2 linked regions of the Macaca fascicularis genome follow. The protein of the gene in region 1 binds, or shares a complex with, the protein of each later gene. Links are inferred from orthologs where the notes say so. Each region holds a gene or a part of one and is shown on either strand. Other genes may lie near its edges. The genes, in order: PER2 and CRY2.

Evidence for each region.
Region 2: the proteins of PER2 (region 1) and CRY2 are in contact, whole or in part, in a crystal structure (PDB 4U8H), measured with the Mus musculus proteins. The link is inferred for Macaca fascicularis from reciprocal best matches to the Homo sapiens genes PER2 and CRY2. Residues at the interface, in NP_035196.2 of Mus musculus: Tyr1132, Leu1134, Gln1135, Asp1136, Pro1137, Trp1139, Leu1140, Met1142, Ala1143, Asn1144, Thr1145, Ile1149, Met1150, Met1151, Thr1152, Tyr1153, Gln1154, Leu1155, Arg1158, Asp1159, Leu1160, Val1163, Leu1164, Asp1167, Gln1168, Lys1170, Leu1171, Leu1174, Gln1175, Ser1177; in NP_034093.1 of Mus musculus: Trp58, Ser63, Ser64, Val65, Lys163, Leu166, Thr167, Lys169, Arg170, Glu215, Leu216, Gly217, Phe218, Asn330, Pro331, Ile332, Cys333, Ile334, Gln335, Ile336, Pro337, Asp339, Asn341, Pro342, Glu343, Leu345, Ala346, Lys347, Ala349, Glu350.

What each region holds. Positions count from the first base shown.
Region 1 is NC_088386.1:134,192,727-134,208,863, reverse strand, and holds the start of PER2 (period circadian protein homolog 2), read left to right. Parts: upstream 1-6,049; 5' UTR 6,050-6,216; exon of another isoform or gene 6,217-6,490; intron 6,491-16,137. UniProt on the Homo sapiens protein: Transcriptional repressor which forms a core component of the circadian clock.
Region 2 is NC_088388.1:20,008,574-20,024,487, forward strand, and holds the start of CRY2 (cryptochrome-2), read right to left. Parts: upstream 10,007-15,914; 5' UTR 9,994-10,006; coding exon 9,779-9,993; intron 1,452-9,778; coding exon 1,343-1,451; intron 1-1,342. UniProt on the Homo sapiens protein: Transcriptional repressor which forms a core component of the circadian clock.

The sequences.
Region 1 (16,137 bases):
AGAATGCAGGGAGCACCTGCATTCGCCAAGTCACAGAGGAGCTTTTGAGTGGGGAGAATGTTTGATATTTGGAGAATGGGAGGCACGTTGGAGCTTGGACTTTGGTCGCTCCTGACTTTGTGGTCTTCCCTGCTGAGTCAGCTGGTTCTCAGGCTCCATAAGGACAGGGTGGTGAGGGTGGCCATGAGATCTTTCTGCAGACAAAGGTAGTTTCTCCTTGATGACATAAAACACAGACGCACAGGATTCCTTTGGTGTCGTGGTGTCGAGAATGTCTTTTGCAAAGGATCAATGGAACGCAGGCGCATGTCCTATAGAGTGGTGAGGATTAAAGAAGAGAATGTGTGCCAAGTGCCAAGCGTGATGCCTCAACACAGCAAGCACGTGCTCCCTCACAGCTTGTTCACAGGCCACGGGGGGGCCCAAGGGCCATACTCATGTATGAATGCAAAGCCCCAAACTCAGGCTTCTGCATTCTTCTTCGTGTCACCCAGGATCAGGAGCCCTAATGACACCGGGCCTTGTTGGTCCCCAGAGCATGCAAGGCCCCCATTCCTGACTCCAAGATGTCCATGGTTGGAGGCGCCAACTGGGCTACCCCTCAGTGACACCCCAGGAATGCTGGCAGAACCACACTGAGGCAACAGCCCTGCAGGACACACACTAGACAGGGAGAGAGCCAGGGAGCCTGATGCGGGGGCCTGCCTGGGCAAGGTCCATGGCCCAGAAGGTCAGCAGGATGACACCCTGACCGATAAGAGACCCTCCACCTGGGAAGGAAGAGGCGCCTCGGACGTGGGGGATCACCTTGAACACGGGTATCACCTCAGACGGGGCATCGCCTTGGGTGTGGGGGATCAGCTCAGACAGGGCAGGCGTTTTGGCAAGTTGCCTCTCCTTGGGCTCCTTCAGGACAGTGAGGGGTATTGGCTGCCCTGAAGCCCTGGAAAGAAACTCAAGCTGCCTGAGACCAGAAAACCTGATCCACAAATTAGTCCACAAGTTCCTGAGGCAGAGACTTGACCTGCAACTCAAACCAGGAGTGCCATACAGCATCACCTACCCACTGCTACCCTCTCCCCACCAAACGGCACAGCTTTCGTCTCAGTTAAATCCTTGGTTTCACTTTTTATTTTTTCTTTGTCTTTTCTTTTTTCCTTTTCTTTTTTTTTTTTTTTTTTGAGACAGAGTCTTGCCGTGTCACCCAGGCAGAAGTGCAGTGGCATGATCTCGGCTCATGCAGCCTCTGCCTCCAGGGTTCCAGCAATTCTCCTGCCTCAGCCTCCCGAGTAGCTGGGATTACAGATGTGCGCCACCACACCCGGCTAATTTTTGTATTTTTAGTAGAGATGGAGTTTCACCATGTTGGCCAGACTGGTCTCGAACTCCTGACCTCAGGTGATCTGCCTGCCTCAGCCTCCCAAATCCTTGGTTTTTCTTAATGGCCTTAATGACCAGAAAGTTTGAAGTTTTAATCATTTTTCAAGTGACATGATAGCAAATTGTTTCTTGGCTTTGGTTAAAAGCATGCCTTTTATTTGCAAAACTGATAATAAGAGAAGTCAGTTGGGTACAATTTAACACTGAATTCTGTAGCAATAAAGAGGGCATGTATAGCATTAAAAAGACAGAATCTTCAGGTACAAATTATTTTATTCATTTATATTTTTTGTCTTAGGATACAATAATAAAGTAAACACATCTATACAGAGTATTGTATAGCAGAGACAAAGCTATGGCAATTTAAATTATTTGCAGATCTGCAAAAAAAAAAAAGAGAGATTAGATGTATTTGGGAGAGGTATTTTTGAAGTAATAACTATTGTCATGGATTAAAAGCCCACTGCACCTATGTATGATTGGGGAAAAAAAAAAAAAAAGCAAAACAAGGCTGGGAGTGGTGTCTCATGCCTGTAATGCCAGCACTTTGGGAGGCTGAGGCGGGTGGATCATGAGGTCAGGAGTTTGAGACCAGCCTGACCAACATGGTGAAACCCTGTCTCTGCTAAAAACACACACAAAAAAGCTGGGCGTGGTGACGCGCGCCTGTAATCCAAGCTACTCAGGAGGCTGAGGCAGGAGAATAGCTTGAACCCGGGAAGCAGAGGTTGCAGTGAGCTGAGATCATGCCACTGCACTCCAGTCTGGGTGAAAGAGTGAGACTCCATCTTAAAAAAGGAAAAAAAAAAAAAAAAGGAAAAAGAAAAACAAATAAAAGTCTTAGCAAATTAGAACATGTGGCAATGGACATCCATAAAAAAACAAACATCTAAGGCTCATCATACCTGGTGGTGAAATACTGAACACTTCCTCCCCCAGGGTGGAACGGGGCAAGGATGCCCACTCTCACCATTCTATCCCACATCAAATGCAGGTCTTAGCTTGTGCCACCGGCCCTGTGATCTCTAGGGCATCCTTTGCAAAGGAGTCATTGGGACAAGGATGCTAACGTTCCAGGCTCCAAGCAAGCTCCTTTCCCCGGGCTCTTCTCCAGGGCAAGGTGAAGAAAGATGGGGACTGCACATCCATCGTGGATGGCTCAATCTTGTGACTTCCTTGGGGAAGACATATGAGCACACCACACCCACATGTCTCCACCAAACAAAGAACAGCCTCCCTGGATCTATATTTAGTTTAAAAATCAAAAAGCCTTCTCAGTAGGTAGCTAGCATAATAAAGATGCCTTCTTCTTTTTTTAAAAGACAGGGTCTCACTCTTGCTCTGTTGCCCAGGCTGGAGTGCAGTGACGCAATCACAGTTCACTGCAACCTCAAACTCCTGGGCTCAAGGGATCCTCCTGCCTCAGCCTCCCAAGTGGCTGGGACCACAGGAGCATGCCATCATGCCTGGCTTTCTTATTTTTTGTAGAGACAGGGTCTCACTATGTTGCCCAGGCTGTTCTCAAACTCCTGGGTTCAAGAAATCCTCCCACCTCGGCCTCCCAAAGAGCTGGAAGATACTTCTTTATATTGGTCCACAAACCACCTCATGTCCAGGGACAGGCACCTGCTCTCAGGTCACTAGAGGCAAGTAGTCCTTGTCTCACCCTGAGACCCTAGACACAGGTGCCCACGCCCTTGAGGTCACCTCTCTGAGCCGGGTCTCCCTGCCAGGAGCTGCCACCATGCTAAGCTGGGGTCAGCTGTAGGTCAGCGCTGGGTTCAAGGGAGGCTGGAGAGTAAGGGTTGGGCATTACCATCTCCAATGTCCCTAAACCCAAGAAAGGGGATCCAGCACTAGAGGGCCAGAAAGCTTGACAGTGTCCCCTCCATCTCTTTAGAGAGGACTTTGGGGGCCACCACCTCCTCCATTTACAGAGGGAATTCTCTTCCTAGCCGCCTGTTCTTTGCCCCTCCAGCTAGCCAACCCACAAACCATGCCACCCACAGTGAGAGGAAGCAGTGACCAGCACAGTGCCTGGTACACAGTAGTTGCTCAGTAAACAACTGGCTGGGTGCTTGAGCGAATGAGAGGGCCAGTGAGTGGACTAGCAAGGGCATGGAGGACTGGGTGCAGAGAAGCCCTACAGGCAGGCCCAGACATAGATGGGCAGGGCCAACTTGGGCCAGGCTTACTGGTGGAAACAGGCTGGTGGGAGTGGGTGGGGCAGGGGCCAAGCAGCCTTTAGCTGGGAGGCCAGCTCCTCCCACTGGTAGCATTCCCAAGGTAGCTGGGGACCCTGGCATACCACCTCACCTCCACCCCCAAATAAAGGACTAGTTTTCTCCTAGCCAGCCTGCCTCCCACAGTGCCAACAGCAATTCTCCTACACAAGAGTTCTGAGCTCTGTGCTGGAGGTGATAGCTGGCCAGTGTGGGCTGGCTAGGAAAGGGTTCATCCCCCTTCCTTCTCCAATCTGACTGCCCAAATTTGCACTCGCTCTCTCTGTCTCTCCCCCTCTCTGTCACCATCTTGGTTCAGCAAGAATGGTATCCATGCACTTGGCCTGATTGTAGGAGCTCATCCCCTGAGCGCTATCCTCTGTTGGAGCTGGGATGGAGGCATCTGTCCATTGCTGTCCTATTCCCTCAGGACCTACACCACATCTTAGACAAAATTGCCTCTGAATCTGCCTCCTCCCCCCTTCTGCGTCACAAACTCCTTACAAGCAGGGATACAGTGAGACGTATTTTTGCATGCCCCTCAATTCTCAGGTGTCAACGAGTATTTGTGGAGTGTACAAAAATTTCCAATAATAGGAAAGAAGAAACTGGCTGTGAATAACTGAAAATAGATGAGATTCTGAAGAGTCCTAGAGCCCAAAGCACTTGATAATTTCTAAAAGAATAGATTTCGGTGTCTTTCTACCAGGTTTATTCGTGGAAATAGAAAAAGGCTACATTTAGGGAGGAAATGTGACATCAGGTAGCAGGCTGAATATGGAGCAAGACCCAGCAAAAGCCTGAAGAAGAATCTCAGTAAGGTGTGGATGAGCTGTTTACTCTTGTTTCCAGAACAATGGAGCTCCCCATTGACGTCAATGGGAGGGAAGAAACAAAAGAGCCTTTGGGTGTGTGCAGGGCGCAACCGGGCCTGGATTTGCTTGGCATTTCTGTGTGTCTGTGTTAGGGAGAGGGGGCGGGGAGTGTGTTGAGATGTCAATGTCAGAGGAACAGGAGGAGGGGCCACCTGACAGTGTGTGAACAGCCTGCAGGCCTCCCTGGGCTTCTGCGGGAAGGGCTGCCCTGATGAACTTGGTATTTGCCCTGGTTTGCATCTGAGAATTTGCACACACACCTTGTCAAGTAGAAGGGAAAGAGTTAGCACACTCAGGAATTCCTGATGTGGGTTAATAACTTTTCCTTCTGTCCCATCCCTGGTCCCCAGGCGAGTCCAGGTAAAGAAGAACAAGAAGAGTAAAGAGAGATGCTGCGGGTTCCAGCTTCCTGGACAATCTCGCCTTCCCCATGGGAGCCTGCACTTTCAGAGTCTGCTGCATGGGAGCCTGCAAGCTCCTGCCTGTCCTGTAAGTCTCAGGCTTCTACCCAGACCAGGGGAAATTGTACTCTCTCTCCTGACACTTTAAATGGAAGTTTAGAGGCTCATCATGCCCCAAACAATGCTTAGTGAAACAGCAAACCCTCAGACAAGGTGATGCACGCTGCCGCACTGGCTCCCAGGACAACCTCCCACCACGGGCTTCTCCGTCTCTACCGCTTGCACCTTCCTAAGGTGTCCCTTTCTCAGGGCCCATCCTACCCGCCCTGGAAGTGCTGCCTTTCTCACGGAGCCTGTGGGGATAGCTCTGGTTAATTTATAGCCCACATCGCCCAATTTAGCATTTGATTAAGTTTCCTTTTTATGAGACAGTCCTTTCTCCCTAGTGATGCGCTTGGGGGCAGAGACAACATCATTTCTTTCTTTTGTACCTCCCCAGAGTAACAGTGACTCTATTTCCTGAACCAAAAATTGTAACACGTGGTAACTGCCGGGACAAGTGTGGACCACAGGCACCTCTGAGGCCCGGGTGGGCGTGCCCCAGCAGCTGCTGCAGGGCGGTGCAGCCACCTTCTCCTAGGCTGCTCTGGGGCCCGGCGACGAATGAGTGAATGAGTAAATGAATGAATGTGTGAATGAAGCATGCTGCGCAGACTTTCCCGCGGCCCTGGCCGCTGGGGGCGCGCCTCTGGCCGGTGGCCGGAGGTGGAGGTTTCCCTGGTCGGGCTTCGGGGCGCCAGGTCGGCCAGGCCGGCCGGAGGTGCACAGGAGCCCCGCGCCCAGCTCCCCCGCCCGCAATGGTACGCGCCACTCCGCGCTCCCGGAGCTGGCGGACTCGAGGGCGTCGTGAATGGAAGGCGCCGACGCCGGAAGTGGATGAGACCACTAGGGAGGACGACGGGGGGCAAGAACGCGCCGCATCTCCATTGAAGAACCGACGAGGTGAACATGGAGTTCCATGTGCGTCTTATGTAAAAAGAGCGACGGGCACCGCTACCAATGGGCGCGCGGCGCTAGTGGGCCCCGCCCCACGTGTATGCAGATGAGACGGTGTCGCGGCCAATGGCGGACGCCGGGGGCGGGCGCGGCGCGCGCGGTCACGTTTTCCACTATGTGACAGCGGCGACTCGGCCGCGGCGGAGGCGGCGGCGCTGAGGGGCTACGTGCAGCTGTGGGCGGTGGTGGCGGCGGCGGCGGCAGCGGGCGCGGGTCCGGGCGGACAGAGCCACGAGTCGGCGGAGGGACCGGCGGACGGGCCGACGCGAACGCGGCCGGGCGGTAAGTGGCGCGGCGCGGCCCCGCTGCGGCTTACGTAACCGCCGCCCGCGCGTTGGCCTCGGGCAGGTCGGGGTCCCGGCGCCGCCGGGAGTTCCCTGGGCCGCTGGACTCCTCTGCTTGAAACGGCGCCGGCGTGGGGGCGTGTGCTGTTGGCCCTGTCTCAGGTGGAGGGCGGCCGAGCTGCGCGCAGGGTGCGCTCGTTTGAATTGCGCTGACACCGCGGGTTGGGGACTCGAACCCCCGTTTCGCAGCTCAGGAGCCTGAGGTCCGAAAGGTGAGGCGGCAGCGTGTGTAGGGCACCGAGTTGCTGAGTGACTGCGCGTGGGCTGCGGTTCCGTGGGCGATTCTCTTTTGGGAACCCTCCCTCCCCTCCCGTGGGGAAGGCCAAGGAAATCAGGGGTCAGCGCAGCTGGCCCTGGGATCTGGAGGTCCCTCGGGGAGCTGACTGCCTCCTCTGAGGCCACAGGGCCAAGTCCTGGGCTGGGGAAGGGCTGTGGAAGGGCGCTGATCTAGGAGCTTTTCCTGGACACCCACGGGTCTCCTGGAATGGGTGATCAGAGGGACAAGGAAGTCCCTGTGCCAAGCCAGGCCTGGGAACCTGAGGGCAGGGAGACCGCCTGATGTTCGCCCCTTTGCCTCCCCTGGACCACCCTGTATTAATTCCCTCTCCCCGGACTGGATAGAAAGGAATGGGGGTGTCCACTCTTTGGTGCAGCAGTCGCACCTACCTTCTGGGATGTACTTCGGCTGCCAAGTCCCAGACATAGACCAGGAGGTGGGAGGTGGCCTGCTTCCCCCTTCAGGAAGGCCAGGGTAAGGGATGACGAGTTGGTTGCCAGGGTTTCTGTAACCTACACAGAAGGAACCCGTTTGGAAAGCTGATTCATACAGAACAGAGCCAGAAGGCACCCTGAAATCACCCAGAGTAACCCCTCAGCCTGACAGATGAGCAAACTGAGGCCCAGGCCCAGGCTGTCTGCAGGATCTTCCCATCGCCCTGGGGCAGGATGAGCTTCAGAGGTTCAGTGAAGGCCTCAACTTGGGTGCTGAATCCTGGGTGGGCTGTAATTTGGGAGGAGGGGCCTTAAGTCCGGGAAATGTGTTAAGAACCTCACACCATGGCCAGAGCCCCCCTGGACCCCTCTCACTTTTATATGGCACAGCAGGATCACTAGACTTCTTGGCTTCCAAGGGGAGATGCCATCTTCTACCCCGACCTGGGGCTTCTGGTCCCAGACTGGGTGTGCCTGAGAAGAAAATAGGACTCTACCTGAAGGCTTTATTTGGAAATTGAGTTTTAAAATACAAGGTGAATTGAGTTTTGTGTGCTATATGACTATAATGAAGAAAGGGACTCCGTTGTTTTTTTTAAGTGGAAGCTGTGTGGTGTGCCAGCGCGGGGATGGTACCGTGGGTGTTTGCAGTTATCTGTCACTGTCGCCTTGGTGTGATTCATTGGTATAGAACTAACGCAGCCGTGGCTTTCTGTGGAGACTGGAGTGCCAGGTGGGAAGGGGGAGCCCTGCGTCAGCCAGCTGGCTGCTGCTGGGAGCCTTGGCTCCCAGTCTGGGCCTCAGTTTCATTTGTTCGGAGGGACTCAGATTGGGCAGTCTCAGAGGTCTAATTTAATTCCCAGGTTTTTGATTTTCTGTTACCCTACAGTTGATTTTTCCCAGGTTTCTCGCAGGAGACAGAGGCTTCTGATATGTTCTTGCCTTTGGGCCAGGTAATGTTCCCCTGTGAGCCACATCTGCAGTGCTTACAAGGAACAAGGAAAGATTCCTCTCCTGTGCACTATTTCTCATACACACTGAACTTTCTCAAAAATACTGGTCGTCACACTGCTGTTTTTAAGCCATGATGTAACTTCACCAGGACTCAGCAAACCACGGCTCTGTCAGGTCATTGAACAGCTGGCAGGGCCACTTGGCGTTTAGTCAGAAGAAAGACAGGCTCTGGGTGTGCTTTTACCTTTTGAAAACTACTCTGGCAGAGTGAGCCAGAAACACACAATTCCATAAGCTTGGCAGAGACTGTCCCCACACTTCTGGAAAGCTGACCAACCTTCAGAACCAAGGGAGAATCAGACAGTCTAGAGGGGGCCTCTGATGGGCCCCTCCCCAAGCCCAGGCACTCTCCCCTAGGGACCAGGCCCTCCTTTCAACTCATTATGCTCATCGTGTACACATTTGTAACAAGTTTGTTACCATATTTCCAAGTCTAGAGCAAATTAGAAGCAGTAAATGAACAGCAGTGACGGGTGACAGGAGTCAAGGCCACTTGGTTTTCAGAGGCTGGTAGTTCCCAAGACAGAGTGGGCTGCTGTGCTGATCCCTCACCGGCCTCGAAGGGTTCCTCGTGCTCTTCCTGGGGTGACATAGAGGAATCAGAATCTGCTCTTTAAGAAACCAGGTGCAGGAGGAGCAGATGCCTCAGCTTCCCGCAATTCAGAGTAGCTCAGCCGCTGACACTTTTGCCTTTCTTATTGCTGTAAAGTCTTGTAGTTCTAAAAATGTAAGGATTTAAAAGTCTGAATTGAGAGCATTAAAGGTGTCCTGGTGAGGCCAAGACAATGCCTCCCTGGTGCACCTCCTTCCCTCCATATTTGGACGGCTGCGGTCACATTTTCCGCAGTTACCCAACCGTTGCCATGGAGAGCGCGGCTGTTTATTTAGCAGGACAAACATTTTCTCAGGATTACAGCAGGCTGGCCTCAGGGATTTGGCTCCTACCAGGAAGTAGAAAACATGTTATAATATTTGGGGTTGTAAAATCCTGCAGCACTTGCAGAGACAGTACATGCTGTATGATCCTTATTATGTAAAGTTCAAAAGCAGGTAGAATTCACTAGGCTGCGAGAAGCCAAGCTAGTGGGTCCCCGTGGGGTAGACGGTGGCTGGGAGGGCCACAAGGAGCCTCTGGGGGGCTGGCAGTGTCCTGCGTCTGGTGACATGTGACATGGGTATGTTGTTTGTGGATATACATCAAGCTGTGACCTCATGAGGTGGGACTCCTCTGGTAACTGAACACTGATTTCTGATTTCCACAAAAAAATGCTTTTCTGCCTTAGGGTGTGAGGGTATGGAGTACAGTAAGACTTCACCAGTCCTGGCAGTGGCAGTGGAAACTGGAACTGGGTCCCAGGCTGTGCTTTCATTCCTAATTTTTAAACACTATTATGGAAAGTATGAATATCTATGAAAGTAGGGAGAATAGGGTAACGAACCCCTGTGACCCCACCAGCCAGTAGTTTCTGCTCCTGGCCCCTCTCCTTCCCCACCCCCACCGGCTGCTTCTCTTCCTGATCCCAGGCTCTCCATTCTTGTGGACTGTACTTTCTGAATGGTGCTCTGTCAGGTTGAGGCAACCCAGCTACCACAAATATGGCCAAGTGACCTGGTCAGGGGTCCGAGCTTAACCTGTTTCCTTGAGTCTGACTGTTCTTGTGGGCAGAGCCAGTGCGCAGACACGTGAAGGGGGCCTCAAGGGCAGGTTCACGCCCAGAGGCTCATGTTGGCTTCTGGCAGCCCCTTTTCCACCAGGCTGTCATTTTCCGTCCTGGGCTTTGGCACCCAGAGCAAATAAGTGCTTGCCCGCCCTTCCTCCCCCTACCTGCCACAAGGTAGAAACAGGTTTCCTAGGAGCTCACCAGGGACAGCTGGTCCAGCCAGCTCTGGGTACACATCTGTGGAAGGCAGGAGGCAAAGTCCACTTTGACAGGGGTGTTGGTTTTGCCACCTTCTCAAAATGAGGCTGGTCTATTAGAGCCGCCAGGGCTGAGACGCATTTTCTGGAATGACGAAGTTTCTGATGATTTGGCTTTCACATTTCTGCCAAGCTTACTCTGTCCTCTTTGCAAAAATACTTATTTTCCACTTAAGGTAATGTCGGGGCACTAGTGGGTCGTATTCAGACAGGCTCACAGGGGCTGGACTTGGGTGAAAACCAGGAGCTAAGTGCAAAATAGTGAAAACCAGGAGAGCTACGTGCAAAGTGCCCAGGGCCCAGACAGCTTCAGATGGTGGCTTCAGATGGTGGCTTCAGATACCTGATGCTCCTGCAAGGACTGCCTGGGCTGGGGGTGGCACTGAGTTCTTAGTCCTTTAAATACAAGAATACAAGCCAGAGACAGCTACTGTGACAATTCACTCTCTGTCTTTTAAAATTACTTTTGTTACCCTTCTGTTTTTCTTTTCTTTTCTTTCTTTTTTCTTTTTTTTTTTTTGAGATGGAGTCTTGCTGTGTCGTCCAGGCTGGAGTGCAGTGGTGCAATCTTGGCTTACTGCAGCCTCCATCTCCCAGGTTCAAGCAGTTCTCCTGTCTCAGCCTCCCAAGTAGCTGGGACTACAGGCACACACCATGACGCCCAGCTAATTTTTGTATTTTTAGTAGAGACGGGGTTTCACCATTTTGGTCTGGCTGGTCATAAACTCCTTACCTCAGGTAATCCACTGCCTCAGCCTCCCAAAGTGCTGCGATTACAGGCGTGAGCCACCGCGCCCAGCCCCCTGTCTGTTTTTCTGTAGTGATTAGCAGTGATAATACAAGCTAATATTACAGTCCAGATACCTTGCATGGATTGTGTCATTTAACCCTTCTAACAACCAGTAGGAGACAGAAACTACTGTTGTTCCCATCTCACGAATGAGGACACAAGGCACAGAGAGGTTAAGGAACTTGTCCAAGATCACACACTTAGGAAGTGGTGAAACCCAGCTGAAACCCAGGCCATCCAGGACCTGTCCCCTTAGCCACTCTGCTGCTACCTCTGATCACCTTAATGACTCACTCAGAGCATAAAGGACCAGCTGCTTGTCTGGGGGAGGGCTATGGGGATGAGATGGGTGGTGTCCAGGATATTGGGGGGGGTCAGGAGTGACAGAATGCCCTTGGTACCCTGGACAGCCTCTTGGCAGCTCCACTGAACCATGGCAAGAGTGCCCTGAGAGGTCTCCTTGTTTCCCCCTTGCCTCAACCCTGCAACTCCATTAAAGTGTAAGTCACATCTTGTTGCACAGAACTCTCCATGGTTTCCTATCGGAGTTCTGACCATCTGCCCCCGCAAGGCACTCCGTGATCTGGCCTTGCTGCCGCCCTCCTGCCCCTGCCCGCTCTGCTCCAGCCTCGTGCACCATCCTCAGACAGGTCAGGTGCTCGCCTGCTGGAGGGCCTTTGTGTGTGCTGTCCTCCTGCCTAGAATGTTCTTCCTTGTTCTTCCTCTGGTAGCCCACTCTCCACGCTCTCCAGCTCTGCCTTCAGGCTCTCTTGAGAACGGAGTCTGAGGTGAGCTCTTTACTGGGAATTGCAGTCCCAGGGTAGCAGTAGAAAAGGAAAAGGGAGGTGAGGAAGAAAAGTCTGGAAAGCACACACAAGATGACACCCTGCTGAGATGAGGCTCTGCCTTACAGACACACACAGCTGGCTGCTCACCCTGTTGGGACCTCTTCAGAAAGCCTGTCCCAAAAAAGGAAGGAAAGAAAGAAAGACAACTTCAGAACGGTCCGTTTGAGGGAGAGACGGAGGCGGCATTTTCTGCCAGCGCCACCTTGCCTCCTGCCCAGCACGTGAGCTCTCCCTCCTGTCCAGCTGCCTCATCAGACCCTTTGGCAGCAGCCGGGACAGTGAGGGGCAGCAAGGACCCCCACAGTGGAGTGGCACGTTGTCTGAGTCCACACAGGGCAGGCAGGGACAGAGACACCCAGTCCCAGCCTCAGGTGTGAAGCCAGAAGGAGCTGCTGGAGCACGTGACTGCCAGCCTGAGAGAGCGAAGCCCAGGGACTCTGAGTCAGTTCACACATGAGGGCTCAAGTGCAAGGTCCTTGCCAAATGCCACCTACACCTGGGGCCACCCTCACTGAAATGTCACTCCCAGCCCCTCTATTCCCCCTTGCTAGTTGCCTGCTGTACTGTATATTCTACTTTCTTATTTATTGTCTGTTTCCCCCTAATGTAAGCTCCCTGAGGGCAGGAAAGATGTCTGCTCTGTTGTCTGCCCCAGTGCCAGGCCTCAGTGCTAAGCGAGTAAGGGCAAGTCAGTGGGAAACTGCTGGCACCAGGCGGGCCCTGCCTGAGTGCCATCTGTCCTTTTTATTGTTGTCGTTATTTATTGTTCTTGGACTTGTTCATCTATGTCTGAGACTCTCCCCACATCAGTGTTTCTGGCCTCCGTCCTTTTAGTGGGTGTATAGTATTCGGAGCATGGATGTCCCAGGTTTGTGTCTTCAACAGTACGTGCCAGGGCCTGGGGATCCAGTAGTGACCAACTCAAACCCCTACCCGCATGGAGCTTAGGTCCCAGAGGGGAGGCAGGCAGTAAACAACCCGCCCCTCAGTGCTGGCAAGGAAAGCCCACAGAGCAGGAGTGCAGGGCACAGAGAAGGAGCTGGTGGGCAGGCAGTGCTGTTCATGCAGGCTGCCCAGGGCATCTACAGGAAGAGGGCTGTGGGCACGAGGGAGCAGCAAGTGCAGAGTCCCTGTGGTCAGAGCACACAGGGCTGGGGCCAAGGGGTGGGCAGTTAACAGGACATGCCCAGGAGATTGCAGGAGCTGGACTTGCAGAGCCTCTGGCCCTCATGCCCACTAGAGCTGTGCTCTGAGCAAGGGTCTGAGCACAGGCCAGGTGTAAGCTAAGCCCCTTCACCAGGATCGCTCTAGATGCTGTGTTGACCATAGCAGGGCCAGGTGGAGGCACGGGACCAGTTTGGAATTTGAGGCTGGCTCCTGGCCAGGATGATCGTGGACAGGATGCGTAGCCTCCTTGTTGATGGTTCTTTCCAGATTTTTATATTCCATGCTCACACATCTCTGTGCACATAAATAAGCACTTATCTGCAATGGATTCCTGGAGGTGGGAAGAGTATGCAGATTATAAACGTTGCTGTGAACTCAAATTTTTCTCCAGAAATACCCTATTACTATACCACCATACTCAAGAGCCACTCCTCCACCTGACCAACGCTAGGGTGAGCAGTCCTGTTAATTTTTGGCAACCTGATGGGCATGATAACCTCATCCTTTGCATTTTCCTGATGCTAATGAGGTTGAGCCTGTCTCTACAAATTCACAAATCTTTGGTGTTTCTCTTTGTGGGAATGGCCTAGGCAGTCTTCGTGCTTAGTCTCTCTCTTCCCAAAAGGTATTACCATTCATCTTTCATTGAATTTGCTAGAACTGCCATAAAATGTAAACAAACAAAGACAGGAGTAATAGACTTGCTTATTTTGTTCCTGACTTTAAGTGGAATGACGCTGGCATTTTGGGTTTTATATGACTCAGGATATTGATAAAACCAGCTATGTAACCCACAATCAAGTATCCTGTAATTGAGATTTCCTCCCTTTGACCATAAGCTTTTCCTCTCAGAGCTATTAATATATATAGATAGACAGCTGGGCACGGTGGCTCACGCCTATAATCCCAGCACTTTGGGAGGCCGAGGTGGGCAGATCATGAAATCAAGAGAGCGAGACCATCCTGGCCAGCATGGTGAAACCCCATCTCTACTAAAAATACAAAAATTAGCTGGGTGTGGTGGTGTGTGCCTGTAGTCCCAGCTACTCAGGAGGCTGAGGCAGGAGAATCGCTTGAACCCAGAGGCGGAGGTTGCCGTGAGCCAAGATTGCACCGCTGCACTCCAGCCTGTTGACAGAGCAAGACTCTCTCTCAAAAAAAAAAAAAGTAGACATTGTCTTCTGGAAATTTAATATTGCTGAAGAGATATCCAAGACTAGTATGATTTTTTTTCATCCTTTATGGGTAACTTGTTTGTTCTCTTTGAATGTTGATAGGATTTTCTTTATCCTTGGAGATACTGTTTGTCATCTAGATGCAGTTAGGCGTTGGACTCCTGTCCTTTGATTGGCAGATTCAGCTCTGTCTTTGGCTCAGGATGGTTCTCTATGTGTCTCGCTCATTATGGTTTCTGGTTTATTGTTCTCGTCTCTTTCAGAAAGAGCTGTAATCCACAGGTAAAACCCGGCCCTCCTCCGTCTCTCTTCCCTTCTCCTTTCCCTTTGCATTTTAAAAGTTTCTCATGCGTCTCCTCCCTATCACTGAAGCCATTTTCTTTTTATTGACTCTGAACTTTGTCCTTCCTAGTTTTCCATTCTAATGTGGCATTTTCATGTCAGACTGTGTGGCCTTATCGCATCCCTCATTACTTGTTTCATTGAGTCCATCACTTCTTGTATTTTTAGGATGAAAAGTAGATGCTGTCCTAATTTGCTGCTTCCTCTGTGGCATGAGGGTTGTGTTCAGTTGTCTTTGCTGTGTGTCTTTTCCGCAGCCCCGTATTGGCTTTCTTCTGTTTATTAGTTTTTGAACAAGGCAAGGTCTAGTCAGCCCTGCTGTTCTCCAGACACTGATGTGGGTGGACTCTTCGTGAGCCCTGCCTCTCACCAGGCTGTCCCGGAGTGGCTCACCCGTGAACGGACTTGACCTGGGGAAGGGGGTGCTGAAGGCTCTCGTTGGAGCTTAGCCATTCAGTTCCTAGGGCCAGCTGTTGGAATCCGGCTCCCTGTGTGTGCGGCCCTCAGTATTGCTGGATGGTTTCGAGCCCTTTCTCAGAGTCGCCCTGTAGGGGAGGGCACCTGGGGGTGTTCAGTGGGTGAAGCGTGTCCAGGAGAACCTCTCCTTCCCACAGGATTTCTGTTCCGGTGTCCGTTCTTCTCCCACAGCTTCCTCACGAAGCATCTTCCTGGTAGTAGAGCTCTTGACAGTCCAGCCTTGACCGTGGTTCAGGCCGTCTTCTTCCATGGCGGGGGATAGCAGGGATCTCAGCACTAGCCACTTCCTCAGGGGGATTTGGACTCCAGTGCACTCTTCATGCTCCTTCCATCTGAGCGACAAGCAGCAGGACGGATCTTCACTTTGTGGCGAATGATTGGGACTTCTAGGGCTGCTGAAAATAATCCCTCCCCCCAACCAATTGTATAATCCTTGGTCATTTCATGTCGGTTCTGGTGGGAAGGAAGTGGAAGGGGAGGCTCTCCCAGAGCTAGATGGGAATTGGAGCATAAGATGTTTCACAAGATTTGGGGTCTGGAATCTAGAAACCCTTCTCTCCCCTTGTTCCGCCTGCCCTGGGAAGGGCCAGACGGATGCCATGCAGAAGTGGCAGTGCCACACTGGACCAGAGTTGGGGCCGAGCACAGTGCAGTGGCAGGAAGCAGGAGGTCCCCGCGTAGCCAAGCCTGGTTGTAGGGTGGGGGTCCCATCTTCAGATGCCGGCAGGCCTGGAATCCAGGGCCATCATCTGCTACTGTGTGGTCTGGGGTGAGCTACCCACCCCTGTTGGCACCTCTGTAGAGCAGTCCCCTGCACACCATGTAGACAGTGATCCAAAGTTGCTGGGAAGGCTGTGTGTTGAGTGCTTAGCATCATGTCTGTAGTCAGCAGCATCACCCCAGAGCCTCACAGCTGTGTTCGTTAAGCATGACCACTTGTGTCAAGCAGGGCCTTCATCTGGCTCTCTCCAGTGCCCTGCTTGAGTGGGTGCCTGCTTCCTGCTGGGACCCTGCTGAAAACGCTGTCCTGGGGATGGGGGGACATCACTAGGTGAAGAAGAGAGGACCCAGGATGGTATTTTGGCCTCCCACCTGCTAATCAGTCCCACCCCTCCCTACTGCCTGTCTCTGCTCACCCCCTCAGTTCGTGTCCAGGATGATCACTGGTCTGTCTTTTTTCAGCCATTCCACCCACCTACCCCAAAGTGCTGAGGTAAAGCTTCTGCCCAGCACAGCAGTGTGAGCCTGTCCAAATGCGAGCTGAGTTCCGTGGGCCTGGCACTCAGAGTGCCTCAGCAGCTCCCAACCATTCCTAGTAAATGTGAACCCACATTGTCCTGGTCCCTCCCCATCCCACTTGTACATGCCTGCGGGGCCTGGGACTCCCGAGCTGCTGGGAGGGTTCCACACCTGCCAG
Region 2 (15,914 bases), on another chromosome or scaffold:
CAATATTATTAAATGACATTTTCTCCAAGAAGCCTTCTTGACCTCCTCCTTCACTATAATTCTTCTGCACCTTGTCTTTTTTCCACTGCAGCATGTATTATATGACAGTGATACACTTGCCTGTTTCCCCCATTAGTGTGAACTCTCAGAGCAGAAACCATGTTGTCTTGCTCATCATCATTATCCTTATACCTAGTATGGGGCCTAGTACCTAGCAGAAGCTCAATAAAAATACATTAAATGACTGAATGGATGACCTAGCTATAGCTCTGGGCTAGAAGTGGGTTGGCCTCTGAGTTGCTGGGGAAGAGAAGGGCAATGTTGAGGGGAGAAGGGAGGCAAATGTATTTATATGGTATGGTGGGAGAGGACACAGCTCTAGAGTCAGAATCCAAGATCATCACTTGTTAACTTCACAACCAATTATTGTTTCCTCACCTATAAATCGGGATAGCAGTAGCCACCTCTTAGACCTGCTGTGAGGAAGAAGTGAGTTGATGTAAACAAACACTGGGAACAGCGCTTGACTCATAGGCAGCCCTCAATGAATGTGGGCAATTACTAGCACTGTGTGATTTGTACATGTATGCGCAATTATGTGTGGGGGTGCGGGGAGGGGAACTGAAGGATGATGTATTCACTAAGCTGTTTGCCTCGACATGACTTTTCCTTTTGTCTCATAGTTAGGGTGGAGAGGGGCAAGACAATCATTGTGTGCTGCTGAGGATGATGGCAGTCTGTCCCAGAGCCCTCTGTCCATCAGTTCCTGTGCTTCTGTGTGGGCCTTAGAATATACTTTTAAAGGGATTGAGGGAAAAGTAGACTGGCCCCCTGATACTGCAAACAGAAACCTATGTGGCACCAAAATGAAGATTTCTATCAATCATTTATCCCATGGGAAACAAGAAAGCTTCTTCAGAAAGGCTGACTTTTCCCAATAAGCAGAGCAAAGCAAGATGGGAAACACACCTTGCTAGAAATGAAACCCCACCCTCAAAGTCTTGGCCTAGAAGGAACCCTAATAAATCTTGCTGGCTTGAGCCAAGAAAACATCGACAGAAGCCAGTGGCATCCGGGGTGGAATGACTTACCACATCCTATGTCTGGACTGAGCTGAGAGCTTTCCAACAAGACACTGGTTTCCCAGAATTTTTTTCCTTAACACAGTTTCCATTCCAAGAGAAAGCTAACTGGCTGCCTTTGCTCCCAACTTCTCTAGCAGCAATAGCCAGACCAGCCCTGATGTTTCCATTCCCTCAGTCGGAATATCATCTCACTCAGCTTGTGGGGAAACCCTCAGGGACAGAATCTCACTGTCTTCTCTGGGGCTCTGCACGCTTACCTTGAACAGCCTTGGGAACACGTCGGCTGGCTGTCCCCGGACTACAAACAGGCGGGAGTTCAGTTTCCTTAAACTTGTGTCCAAATCTTCCAGAGACTGAAGTAGGAACCTGCAGAGTTCACACAGGCCTTGTTAGTGATAACATCATGAAGAGTGGCTCTCTTTCCTAACAAAGCAGGGAGAAACTGGTTCACTGTTTATGCCCAACAGGCAGCCTCATGATCACTAGGGCTGGAGAGGCCAGGGTTCCAGCCCAGGAGGGATGTGGTGGTGGATCAGCGCTGCTCTGCTTCAAACCCTGGCCTTGCCACTTACTAGCTGTGTGACTTTAGGCAATCACCTAACCTCTTTGCCTGTTTTCTCACCAGTAATGTGAAGCTGATGTTAGTACTTCATCAAATTGCTAAGAAAAGAAAATCGAATAATGTGTGAAAAACATTTAGCACCGTGCTTGGCACACAGACATCACGAGATAAATGTGAGTTGTTCCTAGTGTGGTGTTTCTGTGTGATCAGAGGCAAGTCACTTATTCCCTCGCAGTCTCGGGGGCTAGATATAAGTATCTGCCCAGCACGAGGTTGTTGTGAGACTCACATGGGAGCCATCTGAAAAGCCAGTGCAATACAGTGGTATGAAGCTTTAAGGTCCTCTTAGCAGAGGAGCAGACTGCCATAGCTGGGAAAATCCTCCTTACTCTGGTGGAAAAGACTCCTTGACTTTCTGCACGCATGCTGTGGGCCATGCGTATTTCTGCTGCCACAGCCTCACAGCCGGCAATGGGTCCCTAGTTCCCACAGCTTTGTTTGGCAGGTGGCTTACTCTCCAGGCTTCTCCAAGGTTCTGGTGATCAGGTTCTCATCCCAAGAAGGAGAAGGCTTTAAAAGGTACTTCTCAATAGCTATCTTCACATTTTTGTGGGGGTGGGGATGGGGAAGACTACAGATAGGCAAGAACTTCAGCAGCAGACCTGGATCACCAGGGGAAAGGGAAAGGAAATTAACACTTGCTGAGTGCCTTCAGTGTTTTATTTTTAAGTTAAATTAACATTATAACCAGATAAACTATTCATGTGGCTCAAAATTCCAGAGACAAAGCAGTACACAGTAAAAAGGGCTTTCCCCTCCCTCCCTCCCCAGAGGCAACCAAGGTTATCAATGGGATTTTGGTTCTGTCATGCTTTTTAAGTGCATTTCTGCATTTAATTCTCTCAACTGTTTTGAAGGAAATAGTACCATCCTTATTATATAGATGAGGAAACTGAGACACTCAGATGTAAATTAATTTGCCTAAGACCATAGCTGTTAAGTGACAAAGCTGGGGATTCAGGAACCTAGGGTGGTCACTCTGAAACCCACATTTTCCTCTCTGTGCCTTTTTTTTTTTTTTTTTTTGAGACGGAGTCTTGCTCTGTCGTCCAGGCTGGAGTGCAGTGGCGCAATCTTGACTCACTGCAACCTCCCCATCCCAAGTTCAAACAATTCTCCTGTCTCAGCTTTCCGAGTATTTGGGGTTACAGGTATGTGCACCATACCCAATTAATTTTTTTAAAAATATTTTTGGTAGAGATGGGGTTTCACCATGTTGGCCAGGCTGGTTTTGAACTCCTGACCTCAAGTGATCCGCCCGCCTCAGCCATCCAAAGTGCTGGGATTACAGGTGTGAGCCACCGTGCAGGGCTTTGTGCCCCATTTCTAAAGATTTCTAGTTGTACGCCAACTCTGCTCCAGGGCTGAGATTCTGCAGGCCCTCAGGAGTTTGAAACCCTTTTCTCTAATAGCAATCTGACTACAGGTAGTCCACTGGCATTCTCATCTTCCTCAGGAACAAACAGGCCAATCTGCATATGTCACAGACACCTCCGAGGCACCCGCTCTCTACTCCCTGGGTCTCTGCCCATCCCCAGCATTCTTCTCTGTCAACAATAGGAATGGCACATCACAGTCACATTGTCTCACTACTGGAGGCTTACAGAAGCAGTGACTATTCCCAGGCTGTCAACTAGAACCAGCTCCCACTGCTGCCTCTGACGTACACAACTTGACACACTCCTACGGCCAGTGCCACCGACCCACATTCTAGCACGGGCTGAGCCCTGGGCTCGGCTCAAAGCATCATGTCTGCAAAAGAGCATGTGGAAGACTCTCTGAGGGGTTGGGATGGAAGACTAACAGGTTGAATGCTGCTTTATGCAAACCAAAAGCTCCACCTCTGTGAATTTCTGTTTTTGAAAAATTGACACCTCCAGAAAAGGAAAAGGGAGCTGCAAGTGCGTCACTTGTGTTGGCCTCCCCCAAGCCTCACCACTCTTCTAGAAGGAAAAGAAGAGAAATCCATGCAAATGGTCTCATGCCATCTGAAAGCTGGACTCTGCCAGGTAGAATGCCTAGGGTTAGGAGCGGTGATTTAAATTCCATAACCCCAGGACACAGGGTCCTCCATCTGCAGCTCCCAGGAGTGTCCTCACTGTGCGCTTCAGGGGCCTTTTCCTTCACAGTCCACGAGGCTGCATAGGACTTTGATTTGAAGCTATAAATAAGGTTGGAATGCACATGAAATCTAGGTTCCAGAACATGTAGCAATCTGCCTTCTATAGAACTTTATTTTTAGATCTCATTTACTAAAAGGAGAAATTCCTCGTAGCATCTCTAAAGTACAGCTAATCCTATGAGAGCCTTTTCTTCTTTCACAAGAGATGTTTACAGCAGAAAGCAGAGATGTGAGGCTGGTAGAAGGCCCAACTCTGAACCCAGCAACTCAATAAAAACAATGATAATAATGGCAATGACTAACATTTAATGAGCGTTTACACTGACAGGCACTATTCTACTTGTTTCACATATATTATCTCATTTAATTCTCAAACCGCCCAATCAAGTAGGTACTATTATCATTCCCATTTTACAGATGAGGGAATTGAGGCATAGGGAGATTATGGAACTTGCCCAACATTATATATCTAATAAGTGGCCAGAATTCAAACCCAGGCAATCTGTCAGGCTTGACATGTTTGTTTTTAGCCAGCCACTGCCTCTCAACAAACAGAGCACTGAGGTTGTGCTGCCCAGGGCTCAGCCGTTAGGGAGCACCAGAGGCCAACTCAAAGGCCAACAACACCTCTGCTGCCAGATCTTTCCTCCTGAGTGTGTTCTGACAATCAGCAGCATTGGCTATGAAACACCCAGGAGTCTGTTGAAATGCAGAATCTCAGACTCTAACCCAGACCTCCAAAATTAGAATCTGTATTTTAGCAAGATCCCCTGGTGATTCATTTGCATATTAAAGTTTCACAAGCACTACTCTAGAACACTGAATTTTACTTCTAGCCTCTGTTACAAGTTGCCTTTCTTTGCTTCTAGTTTGTTTCTACTAAACTTTCTCTCTTGGGCATCCATATTTCTGCCTCCCCTTTGGCCTGCTAGAAATGCTCTGCTTCTTCCAACTTCCCTCCCGAGTCAACCCAGGAAGGGAGGGCTCAGGACAGCCACCACACGGAGGCAACAGGCGGAGATGTGAGGAGGGTCCCCAGTATCTCCAGACTCCAGGCAGCGAGAGAATGCATAGAATGAGAAGCCACCACTAGGGTACCACCTTTGAGGCCTGCCAGGTGACAGCTGTCCATCACATTTGGAGCAGTGCCGTGACTGGGCAAAGGCTCACTGGGCAGGTATATGCATTCTTTCACCAGAGAGAACCCTGGGCCTTCTGTGGTGCCTTAGAACCCTCCTCTTTACTCCAATTTCTCTTTACTCCAGTGAGGGGACTCTGAAGGAAACTGGCCTGGCATTGGAGGTGGTAGTGTTGGGGGCTGGCACTTCACCCTTGGCAGCTCTTAGCTGAGCTCACATGGCCAAAATTCAGAGCACATGGTCCTGGGAGAGCAAAGCTTACCCTTTGGATTAGACAACATGTGCAACTGAATTACATTATTACGTAAGTGCTCTGGAGCCAGAGGCAGGCAGAACTAGAGAAAACCAGACTGGGATTTCCAAAAATACAGAGAGGACACTATAACTCAGGGACTCTACAAGGCTAGCCTTTAGAATAAAACAAGCAGATCCTTTGATTAAGTACTCACATTTTGGGAAGGCCTTCTCTACGGATGGCTGTCTCTACTGACCCTGTGTTGAGGAATATTTTATTTATTTGTTGTTAATAGGGGGAGGGAAGATAACAGTGAATTCTTTTGGGTCCAGGCTGTCCTTGACCAAGTTCTTCTGCTTCAAGCCAAGGTTATCTAACAATAATGATGATACCATTGGCTGGCACAGATTGGCTACATAGGATATTAATAGAAATTAACTTTTCCTAAGTAATTAAGAGCGCTTAAGCCCCATGGAAAAGGATAACCTAAACTCACAATCTCTGGCAGGGATTTATTTCTAAGTATCTGAGTAATACTTAGAAATACTTAAATATTAAATACTTATTATTTTAAAAATATATTTATTCTTTCCTAATTTCAAAGAGAAGGATGAAGGTTTTTATCCCCTTTGGGCAAACAGAAACATTTCCTTGGCAGTAGAACGGTAAAGTGCCTCTCTCAGATATCAACGTGAATAGCTCAGAGAAGCTCCTGTTTCCCTGCCAGTAGACGAGTTCTCAACCCACTTCCCAACAGTCCAACAGTGTTCAGCTCTCAGCATCTGGGAAGAGAGGCACACTTGTTCTCATGGCACATCCTGGGAAGTTCTCAGTTTACCCTATTTACCAATTCTGAGAGAAAGGGGCTGAGAGGGAACATATTTTATTTTCACAAATTCCCTCTGTCCCGGAAGCTCCTGAAAGAGGTGCAGCACAGAGCCAGGGACAAAATGATTTCAATAAAGTGGAAGAGGAATTGTGGCTAACACCTACCTAAGTCGCAGTGGGGAGAGAAAGGTAATGAAAAACCACAGAGCCCATTTTAAAATCTAGGAACTGCTCACATCTTCCTTTTGTTTATCTTCTTGCTGCAGTACCTCCTTCTAGATGTAGCAAATTTGGGGGAGGTGAGGCTGGAGAAAATGTGAAAGGGTTTAGCCAAGCAGCACTTGGGAGGAAGAAAAAAAAAAAAGTCCTGAGGCTCATATAGCTACAATTAGCCCATAAACTTCCCACCATCACCAAGGCAGGGAGTATACTAGCCTTCTTCTTGCTAATCAATATGTGTATTTCTTGGTTGCATTTCTCTGTCCTTTTTTACTCCTAGTGCCATTCATAGTTATTTTAATCTGATTTCATCTGCAGAAAAACACTGTGTGGGAGTCAGTGTAGGAGGAGCAGGAGGGAAATAGAGTCACAGATTTTGGGTCCTCCCCTCCTTGCAGATGTTCCCTTGCCTTCCTAGGGAGGCTTCTCAGAGGCAACTTAAGCAGCTACAGAGCTAGGACCTTATGGTGCAGCACAATTCTCTCAGACCACTCTCGGAATCCAGAAACAGCCACGGGACGATTACACATACTACAGTCATGTCAAGATATGGCTGGCTCCAGTCCTCCCCTCCATCCCCAACTTTGTACACAAGAGAATGCAGCTCTGCCTTCAACTGATCCAGGAAGCAAGCAGAATGGTGGAGGTGGTAGGAGTGTGTCTGTTACCAGGCCCAGGAGCAGTTATTATATTCAATCTGTTTGTGTTACTTCACCTCTTTCTTCTGAACGCCAAGACTAATTAGACTTCCTGTCAATGCACTGCAACACACTTCCTAGGTTGCCCAGCTCAGGACTGAGGTTCTCTAGTCCAGTGCTTCTCAAGCTTTGCTGCAATAAGAGTTTTAAAAACCTTAATGCCCAAGGCCGGGCACAGTGGCTCATGCTTGCAATCACAGCACTTTGGGAGGTTCAGGCAGGCGATTGCTTAGGACCAGGAATTCAAGACCAGCCTGGAGAACATGGTGAAACCTCATTTCTACAAAAAATACAAAAATTAGCCAGGCATGGTGGTGCAAGCCTGCAGTCCCAGCTACTTGGGAGGCAGAGGCAGGAGGATCGCTGGAGCCCAGGAGGTCAAGGTTGCAGTGAGCTATGATCATGCCACTGCATTTCAGCTTGGGTTGTCACCTGAGCAGGACCCTGTCTCAAAAAACCCCACAAAAAACCAAAAACCAAAAACCAAAAACCAAAAACCAAAAACCAAAACCAAAACCAAACAAAAAACCCCAAAACCTTAATGCCCAGGCCATAACCAAGAACAATTCTAACAGAACTGGGGGAAAGGGGTTGGGCACAGTGGTTCATGCCCCGTAATCCCAGCAGCTTGGGAGACCAAGGTGGGTAGATCACCTGAGGTCAGGAGTTTGAGACCAGCCTAGCCAACATGGTGAAACCCTGTCTCTACTAAAAATACAAAAAAATTAGCCAGATGTGGCAGTGGCCGCCTGTAATCCTGGCTACTTGGGAGGCTAAGGCAAGAGAATTGCTTGAACCTGGGAGGCGGAGGTTGCAGTGAGCCCAGACTGTGCCATTGTACTCTATCCTGGGCAACAAGAACAAAACTCCATCTCAAAAAAAAAAAAAAAAAAAAGAATTGGGGGAAAGGGGCCCAGGCATCTTTTAAAGATCCTTATGGGATTCCAATACATAGCAGCCAAGATTGAGAACCACTGCTCTAGTCTGTCCCCTTATCTTATGTTTCTCATGGCACTTCGTTTCACTAAATTATGGTTGTTTGCTGGTCTTCTTTCAATAAAATGTAGGCTCCAGGAGTTCTGGAGCACAGACACATCTGTTTATTCACTGCTGTATCCCTAGCAACATCTAGAGCACTACCTGGCAGATATTAGGCATTCATTAAGTAATCAATTAATATCTGCATTCCTACACAGCCTCTGACTTCAGGATTTGACTCAGGCATCTAAGCCACATTCCTTTTCTCCTTCACTAGATTGACAGCACAATCACAAAACGATAACCCACAAAAATCCATAAACACCTGGTTCCTAGCAAACTGGAGTTTAATCAACAGGAATTTTATTGTTGATTTTTAATCTCCCCTATCAAAAAAGAGTAGGTAGTACTAGGCAGTGTCCCCCAAAACCCAATAAAAGAAGAAACTCTGTGACAATGTAACAAGAAGGTAGTCGGATTCCATTTGGCTGGCTCTGACTGGTGCAGGGCAGTCTGAGGCTTGGCTTAATGTCCACACTAGGGATGGTCATTTGATGATGCTTGTCAAACCCAACCTCCTATCTGTAGAAAACTGGAGCAGAGACAGAGCAATAAGGCAGCCTGAAAACTGTGGGCAGGCTCTCCACAGGACTCTTTAATTGTTCCTTCTATATAAACTGGGCAAGAGGGGACACTGAACAGACCTACTGCTAGGAGCACTCACTCTCTTAGCAGGGTACACACCTTGGAGAGAAAAGAATGGTGTGCCGAGAGCCACGGTATCCTGGAAATAACCCTGTCCATCAGTGCAACAAGGCCACAAGCAAACATTCCCCAGAACAATGTAAACAAACCCAGCGACTGCCACTAGGTGTTCTGAAGAGCGATGGGTACATGATGTCTCAAAACTCTTTAATTTGAATACTGCTTACAAAGAAAATACATTAACGACCTGTTCATCTTTTTCCATGATCATGTCGACTCCATCTCCTGGGGGGTCATCAGAGGGGCCCTTGATATCATGGCTTTCCTGCTCCCTAACCTTAGCACAACAGTTCATAGAAGTCTCATCTCTAATGGCTCAACTGTCCTCTAAAATCATGACAAGAGGATGACGGGGTGACACTTTGGATCCTTTTAAATTTTTTTTATCGAGGTCAAAGCTCCAGAGCAGGGCTTAAACCATTTTGGAGAATCCCCTGGATTCTCTGGAGCTTTGAACACAACGCGATTCCACCTGAAGACACCTTTGGCTTCTTTATTTATAATATAGGGGAGAAGACTTTATTTAATGCTAAGCCAGGGTCACCTGACACCCCTAGAGGCAGGACGGTCTGGGCGCAGGGAAGCCAGGATGGGTGGTAGGGCGGATTCAAACAAGCCAGAGGCTTAGGAATGATCTCCCCGAGCCCAGCAATGGGCTCTTTACTTGAAGAATGCGAGCAAAAACCCGTCCCGCCCTCACACCACAGTATCTCCTTCTGCCCCTCCCTGAGTAGACCATAAGAGCCCTAGACCAGGAGCCCCTGTTCCGCCACTCACTGGCTGCAAGTCCTTGGACAGGTCGACTTTGGGTCTCCAGGGCCCAAGGGTCTCATCTGTACAACGGGGATCATGATCTCCGTTCCACAGGCAGTTGTGAGGCTCAGAGGGGTAACAGTGCGAACGCGCTTTGTCAGAGGCTGAGCCCTGGCCCACCGGCGCGTTAGGACCATGACGAATTACTTCCCCGGTCTCGGCTTCTCCACGGCCTCACAGCCGTGGAGAGGTTGAGAGAATCGTGCTGTTTGCCGGTCACCCCAGGGTCAGGGTCCTGGCTGCGTCCCCGCCACCCCGCCCCGGGTCCCCTCACCTCCATCGGTTGATCCCGACTGAGGAGGAGGCCGCGAACCACGGGTCGAGAATGTAAACGCAGCGCACGCAGCGCGCCCCGCGCACGGCCGCCAGCAGCGCCGGGTTGTCGTGGAGCCGCAGCCCTTTGCGGAACCAGTGCACTGAAGAGGCGCCGTCCGTGCCGGGCGCTGGCGCCGGGGCCACAGCTGCCGCCGTCGCCACAGTCGCCGCCATGACTGTCCAGACTGCTCCGGCCACCCCCGCTCCGCCCCGGTAGGCGACGCGGACCCCGCCCACAGACCGCCCAGTGACCTATGACGCCGCAGCTCCTCCCTTCGTCCCCGCCCCCAGGGCCTTAGAGCCCCTGTGCCATTGGCTGAGTGCCTCCCGCCCGGCGATTGGCCCAGAGACGCCAGAACAGGCCCCGCCCCCTCACGTTCCTACCATGTGTGGGTCCGCCTGGGTGGAGCTGGCAGGCGGACAAGTGACGCAGGCTGGCACAGTCCGCGGAGGGCCGGGAGTGGGCCGAGTCTCGAGGTACAGCGGATCTCTTACACATGTCCTGTTCAGGGCCTGCTTCTAGAAGAAGCTACCTGGGCTGGTAGGGGTTGCTGTGACTACAGCCAGAGACTTGCAAAACTGACAACTGACCTTCCTATTATCACCAACATCGTCACCAGCATCATCTACATCATTCTACTACAACTGCCATTTATTAAGTGCACTTTATATGGCAAGAGACATGATCATCTCCTTACGTAGTCGGTCTCATTTACTATTCTGAACTCAGCCCAGTTACATTCATTTAACGAACACCAGTGGAAGAGCTGCTGTTATTTTTGTTTTACAGATGAAGAAAATGGAGGGTGCCGCAGGTTGAGCGACTTGCTCAGTATCATAAAGCTACTAAGAGGGATTTCACCCATATTATTCTGATTTTGAAACTTCTGCTTTTATCCACGAAGCTATACTTCTCTTTGTGCGAAGATCCTTGGTAATTCCAAGTGGCAGAGTCCAAGGATGGAGAAGGAGTGCCCTGATACGCAGCATTAGAGGATTTGGGAGTAGGGACTGGGAATGTGGAGGACTTGAGCTCGTAATTATGCCATCAGATGAATTTATTTTCTTTTAGTCTGTTTAGTAGATCCAGTGGTACTATTGTGTGCAAAGCACTGTACTGGATTCCGGGTGGGGTTCAGAGATGTGGAGGACACTGTCCCCATTCTTCTGGGACGCCAGGTGGAACCCTCTTATTCCTCTGGCGTCTAGCATAGAGCTTGCTGATTGACTGACTAAATGGCAAGAGAAGCTATAAACACCAGCAACAAGGTGTTGGGGAAGGCTAAGATGGCTTAGTCAAGCTGCAGCTTTGGGGTTATCAGGTGGAGAACAGTCAGTTTCAACTTGGCCCTAGGTTGAGCCCATGCTTGGAACCCTTCCTGGACCTGGGACAGTGTGATGAAAGCATTTAGCAATTTAGTCTGCAATTTAGTGGCATTAATTGGCACCACTCTCTAAACCAGTGTCACTGCAATCCTAGGCATTCTCTGCCATTTCCAGGACTTTTCACAAGCTGTTCCCGCAGTCTAGATCACACTCCCTCTTCCTTCTTTGTTTCTAACTCCAGTTTGCTCTGTATCATTGTTCAGTGTAGATGTCACCTTCTTGCTGTCTGATCCCAACCTGAATAGTGCCCCGTCTCATTCTGTGCTTCTTTGTGGTCACTTGTCTTGGCACACAATACTGGAATTTCTTGCTTAAATGTCTTAATGCCCCATTAAAGTATAAACTCCTGGAGAGCAGGGGCTGTGGCTTATTTACAGTTGTATGTCCAAAGTCTAGCTCAGTGCTTGGCACCTAACGCTCAAGGATTATTTGAGTAAAAATTGCACTAGAGTCTCATATTGGCAGGCTCTTAGAGGCTTATCCTAGTCCCCTTACCTGGCCCTGTCCTTATTTTTGAATTTCCTTTCCAAATGCTTGCTGAATAAATCGATGCCACCTTTCATTACTTTTATTTTAAGGTTTTGTGTTCCCCCTCTCCTATCCCCTCTTCTCTCCACAAGGTTGGTGCTTTGCTAGGAATGGAACAGAGTGTAAGGAGGTGTTTCTCCCTTAAACAACCTCAGAGATGAGTCCTCTTCCCTTTTACTCCTCTAAATTCCCGTAATGCTGTATCTGTATTCTGTGAGCCCGGGACTGTGCTTGTCTTACTTATCAGTGTCTTCCCAGCTGGTACTCTGGTACCTAACATATAGTAGGTGCTCGAAAAACATTTGCCAAATGATCAAAAGTCATTTCCCTCCCCTCCACTCTCTCTCTTATTAAGCTATCATGAGAGGCAGTGTGGTGTAATGGTTAAATCCTAGGCTTCGCACATTAGAGTTGCTGAGTTCAAATTCTAGTTCTGCTTTTAATCTCTGTGACCTTGGATAAGCTAGTTAACCTCTCTGTTCCTCACTTTCTTAATCTTTGCAATAGGGTGATAATAGCACTTAGGATATACTAAGCATTTGTACTGTATCAGCTACTGTTATTCTGAGCAGCAGGATCTGTGTCTGGTTTTCTCTTCCTTGTAATGCTCAGCCCTGGGTCGTACATGTAATGTGGGCTCCATAAGTTGCTGAGTAAATAAAATATTTTACTCATTTTTTAAAAGTCCTCGAAATTTTGCCAATAATGAAAAAAGTAATCAACCTCAGTTCCCAAAACCTAACAAATCAATTATTTCTTATCTTCATGTTGCCTTCTAGACTTTGTCCACAAACACCTAAGCAGACTGTAATCAAAGCAGAGGTTCAGTGCTCCATGGTTTGCATAGTTTGTTTGTTCTTTTTCTTTTTTTATTTTTTTTGAGACGGAGTCTCGCTCTGTCACCGGAGTGACAGTGGTGTGATCTCCGCTCACTGCAACCTCCGCCTCCTGGGCTCAAGCAATTCTTGCCTCACCCTCCCAAGTAGCTGGGATTATAGGCGGCTGCCACCACACTGGGCTAGTTTTTATATTTTTAGTAGAGTCAGGGTTTCACCATATTGGTCAGGCTGGTCTTGAACTCCTGACCTCAGGCGATCCACCTACCTTGGCCTCTCGAAGCGCTGGGATTACAGGTGTGAGCCACCGACCATGCCCTGCCTGTTCTTTTTTTTTTTTTTTTTTTTTTTGAGACAGGGTCTTGTTCTGTCACCCAAGCTGGAGTGCAGTGCTGTGACCCTAGCTCAATAACAGTTTCAAACTCCTGGGCTCAAAGGATCCTCCTGCTTCAGCCTCCTGAGTAGCTAAGACTACACGCACACACCAGCATGCCCAGCTAATTTAAAAAACATTTTTTTTTCTTGGTAAAAACAGGGGCTTTGCTATGTTGCCCAGGCTGGTCTTTAAGCAATTAATTCCTAGCCTCTATCAGTCCTCCCTCTTTGGGCTCCCAAAGTGCTGGGATTATAGGCATGAGCCATTGCACTTGGCCCAGCTTTTTTGAAACTTAAAATATTAAGCCTGTTGTATATTGCTGCATCGTTACTTTTGTGTGGTTTTTTTTTGTGTGGTTTGTGTTGTCAAGTTAACAAAGATGAACTATTAATACTTCATTGAATAATTGCATATTGCTTTAGTATATTAACAGTGTAACATTCAAGAATCAGGAAGCAGGTTGGGTGCGGTGGCTCATGCCTGTAATCCCAGCACTTTGGGAGGCCGAGGCAGGCAGATCATTTGAGGTCAGGAGTTGATGTGGCCAACATGGTGAAACCCCGTCTCTACTAAAAATACAAAAAGTAGCCAGGTGTGGTGATGCGTGCCTGTAATCCCAGCTACTCAGGAGGCTGAGGCAGGAGAATCGCTTGAACCCGGGAGGTGGAGGTTGCCGTGAACCAAGATCATGCCACCACACTCCAGTCTGAATGACGAAGTGAGACTCCGAAAAAAAAAAAAAAGAATAGGGAAGTAAATCTGACACTAGATAGAATAGGGTGCAAAGTCCACTTTGGGTTTTTACACTTTAAAAGGGACACGGAGAAATTGGAGAGAGACCAAAGAAACTTGTACGTTGCTAAGGAAGTGAAATATAATGGGGTACTATTGTCTCTTCGAGAGAAATAAGAGCTAATTTTTGACCTCATAATAATGCACTCTAGTGTACACCTTGTAAAAAGTACCTCCAAAGAGTGGTTGTCATGAGGATGTCAAACAACCTAGTTTACACTAGGAAGAGTGAAGATTGGAGAGACGACTTAGGATAAGGTGCTTTAAGGATGAGATGAATTAGCCAGGAACTGAGTGGCGTCTTTCTTCCCTGAAGATGCTTACGCAGATAGATTAGTCCTGTTTTGTCTCTTTTTGTTAATGTCCTGCATGGAGACTGGATTAAACAACTTTCTACTTTGGCTTTGAACCGCGCTTTGGGTAAATATTTGATGATTGGCTGAAAGGTAATCGGGCGCGGCGGGAGGGACTTCCCCGGCGAGTTTAAGTTACCCGCGCCCTCTAGTGGTAGGACTGGGACAACGGCGGTTCGGTTTTCGGCTGTGCGGGGAACACCGCGGCATCCCTGTTCCCAAGGCTTCACGCAAAGCCTACTTTGATGTAGTGACGTAAAATGTTTGTTATTGGAACTGTTCAGCTTGAGAAGCAGTAAAGCTTATTGAGAGCATAGACCGTAAAACTAAACTCCCTGCGTTCCATTTCCAGATCTGACATTAACTAGCAAATTACTTAATTGGGCGAGCTACTTAACCTCTCTGTGCCTTAGCTTCCTCATTTGTAAAATGGGGATGATGATACTAATAATAAAGGACAGTATGAAATTAGAGAAAGGTGAATAGACTAATGAGTCAGAATTGAGAATCCAGAAACAGGTCCACATGAATCTGGACATTTTATTCACGACAAAGATGTCTGTGTAAAGAAGTGGGGAAAGTAATGGGTCAATCAGATATTCTGTTGTAAAAAAGTGAAAGTTGACTCCATCTCACAACATACAAATCAATTCCAGGTAGATTATATGCTTAATGTGAGGGGTAAAACAATAAAGCTTTAAGAAGATCGTATTGGAGAATATCTTTGCAACCTTGGGAGAAGACAAACATTTCTTGAAAAAGACATGAAAAGCACTAACCGTTAAAGAAAATATTGATGAGTTGGACTATGTTAAAATTAGGAACTGTTGATCAAAAAACATTATTCAGAGAGTGAAAAAGCAAACCATAGAATGAGAAAAGATACTTACATAATATTTATAATTCTTAAAGAGCTCAAATCCAGAATATGTCAACAGCCCTTAGAAATCATAATAATAAAAAAAGATAGGCAACCCAATTTGAAACTAGGCCAGAGACTTGAATAGGCACTTTCTGTGGAGTCCTAATTAAGCAAAAGGAGTCAGACTGGTGAGATTGAAGGAAAGCAAAAAGAAAAAGCAGATAAACTGTAAGTCTGCCTTTCTTTGTGGTCCAGGACACATTGCCCTCCTGTGCCCAGCTATCACCAGTCCCTTGGCTGATAGAAAAATACAAGTTAGCTCACTGCAACCTTGGCATTATCAGCACTGCACAAAGTCCTCTTCAGTACATAGCACAAGCACCATCCTATAAAATCCCCAGCAAGCCTTTGTCTCTTTGTAGTCAGTTCCCTTCTTGCTGACCTGCCCATTGCACCCTTGCAATGTATTTTCATACTTTCTCTAATAAATCTGCCTTTCTTTACCTACAACTGTCCTGGTAAATTCTTTTTACTGCCTGCACGACGCTGGCCCCAGATAGTGGCTACCTGTGACACTTTCCACACACCCTCGCCCCAAAGAATGGATATTTAAGTGAGCAATGAACACATGAAAAGGTACTCACCTTCATTAGTTCATCAGGGAGCTACAAATTAAAACCACAATGAGGTACCACTATAGGCCCACGAGAATGAATAAAGTTAAAAGGATTGGTAAAATCAAGTGTCTGGGAGGATGTGAGCAATTAAAATACACTGCTGTTGGGATTGTAAATTGATACAACCATTTTTAAAAACTGTTATTATATATTAAATTTGAAAAGCCAAATACCTTACAAATCATGAACGATATATTCTATGACGCAACAGTTTCACTCCTAGCATATACTTAACGGAAATCCGTGCACATGTGCACCAAGAGACATGTGCAAGAATGTTCATAG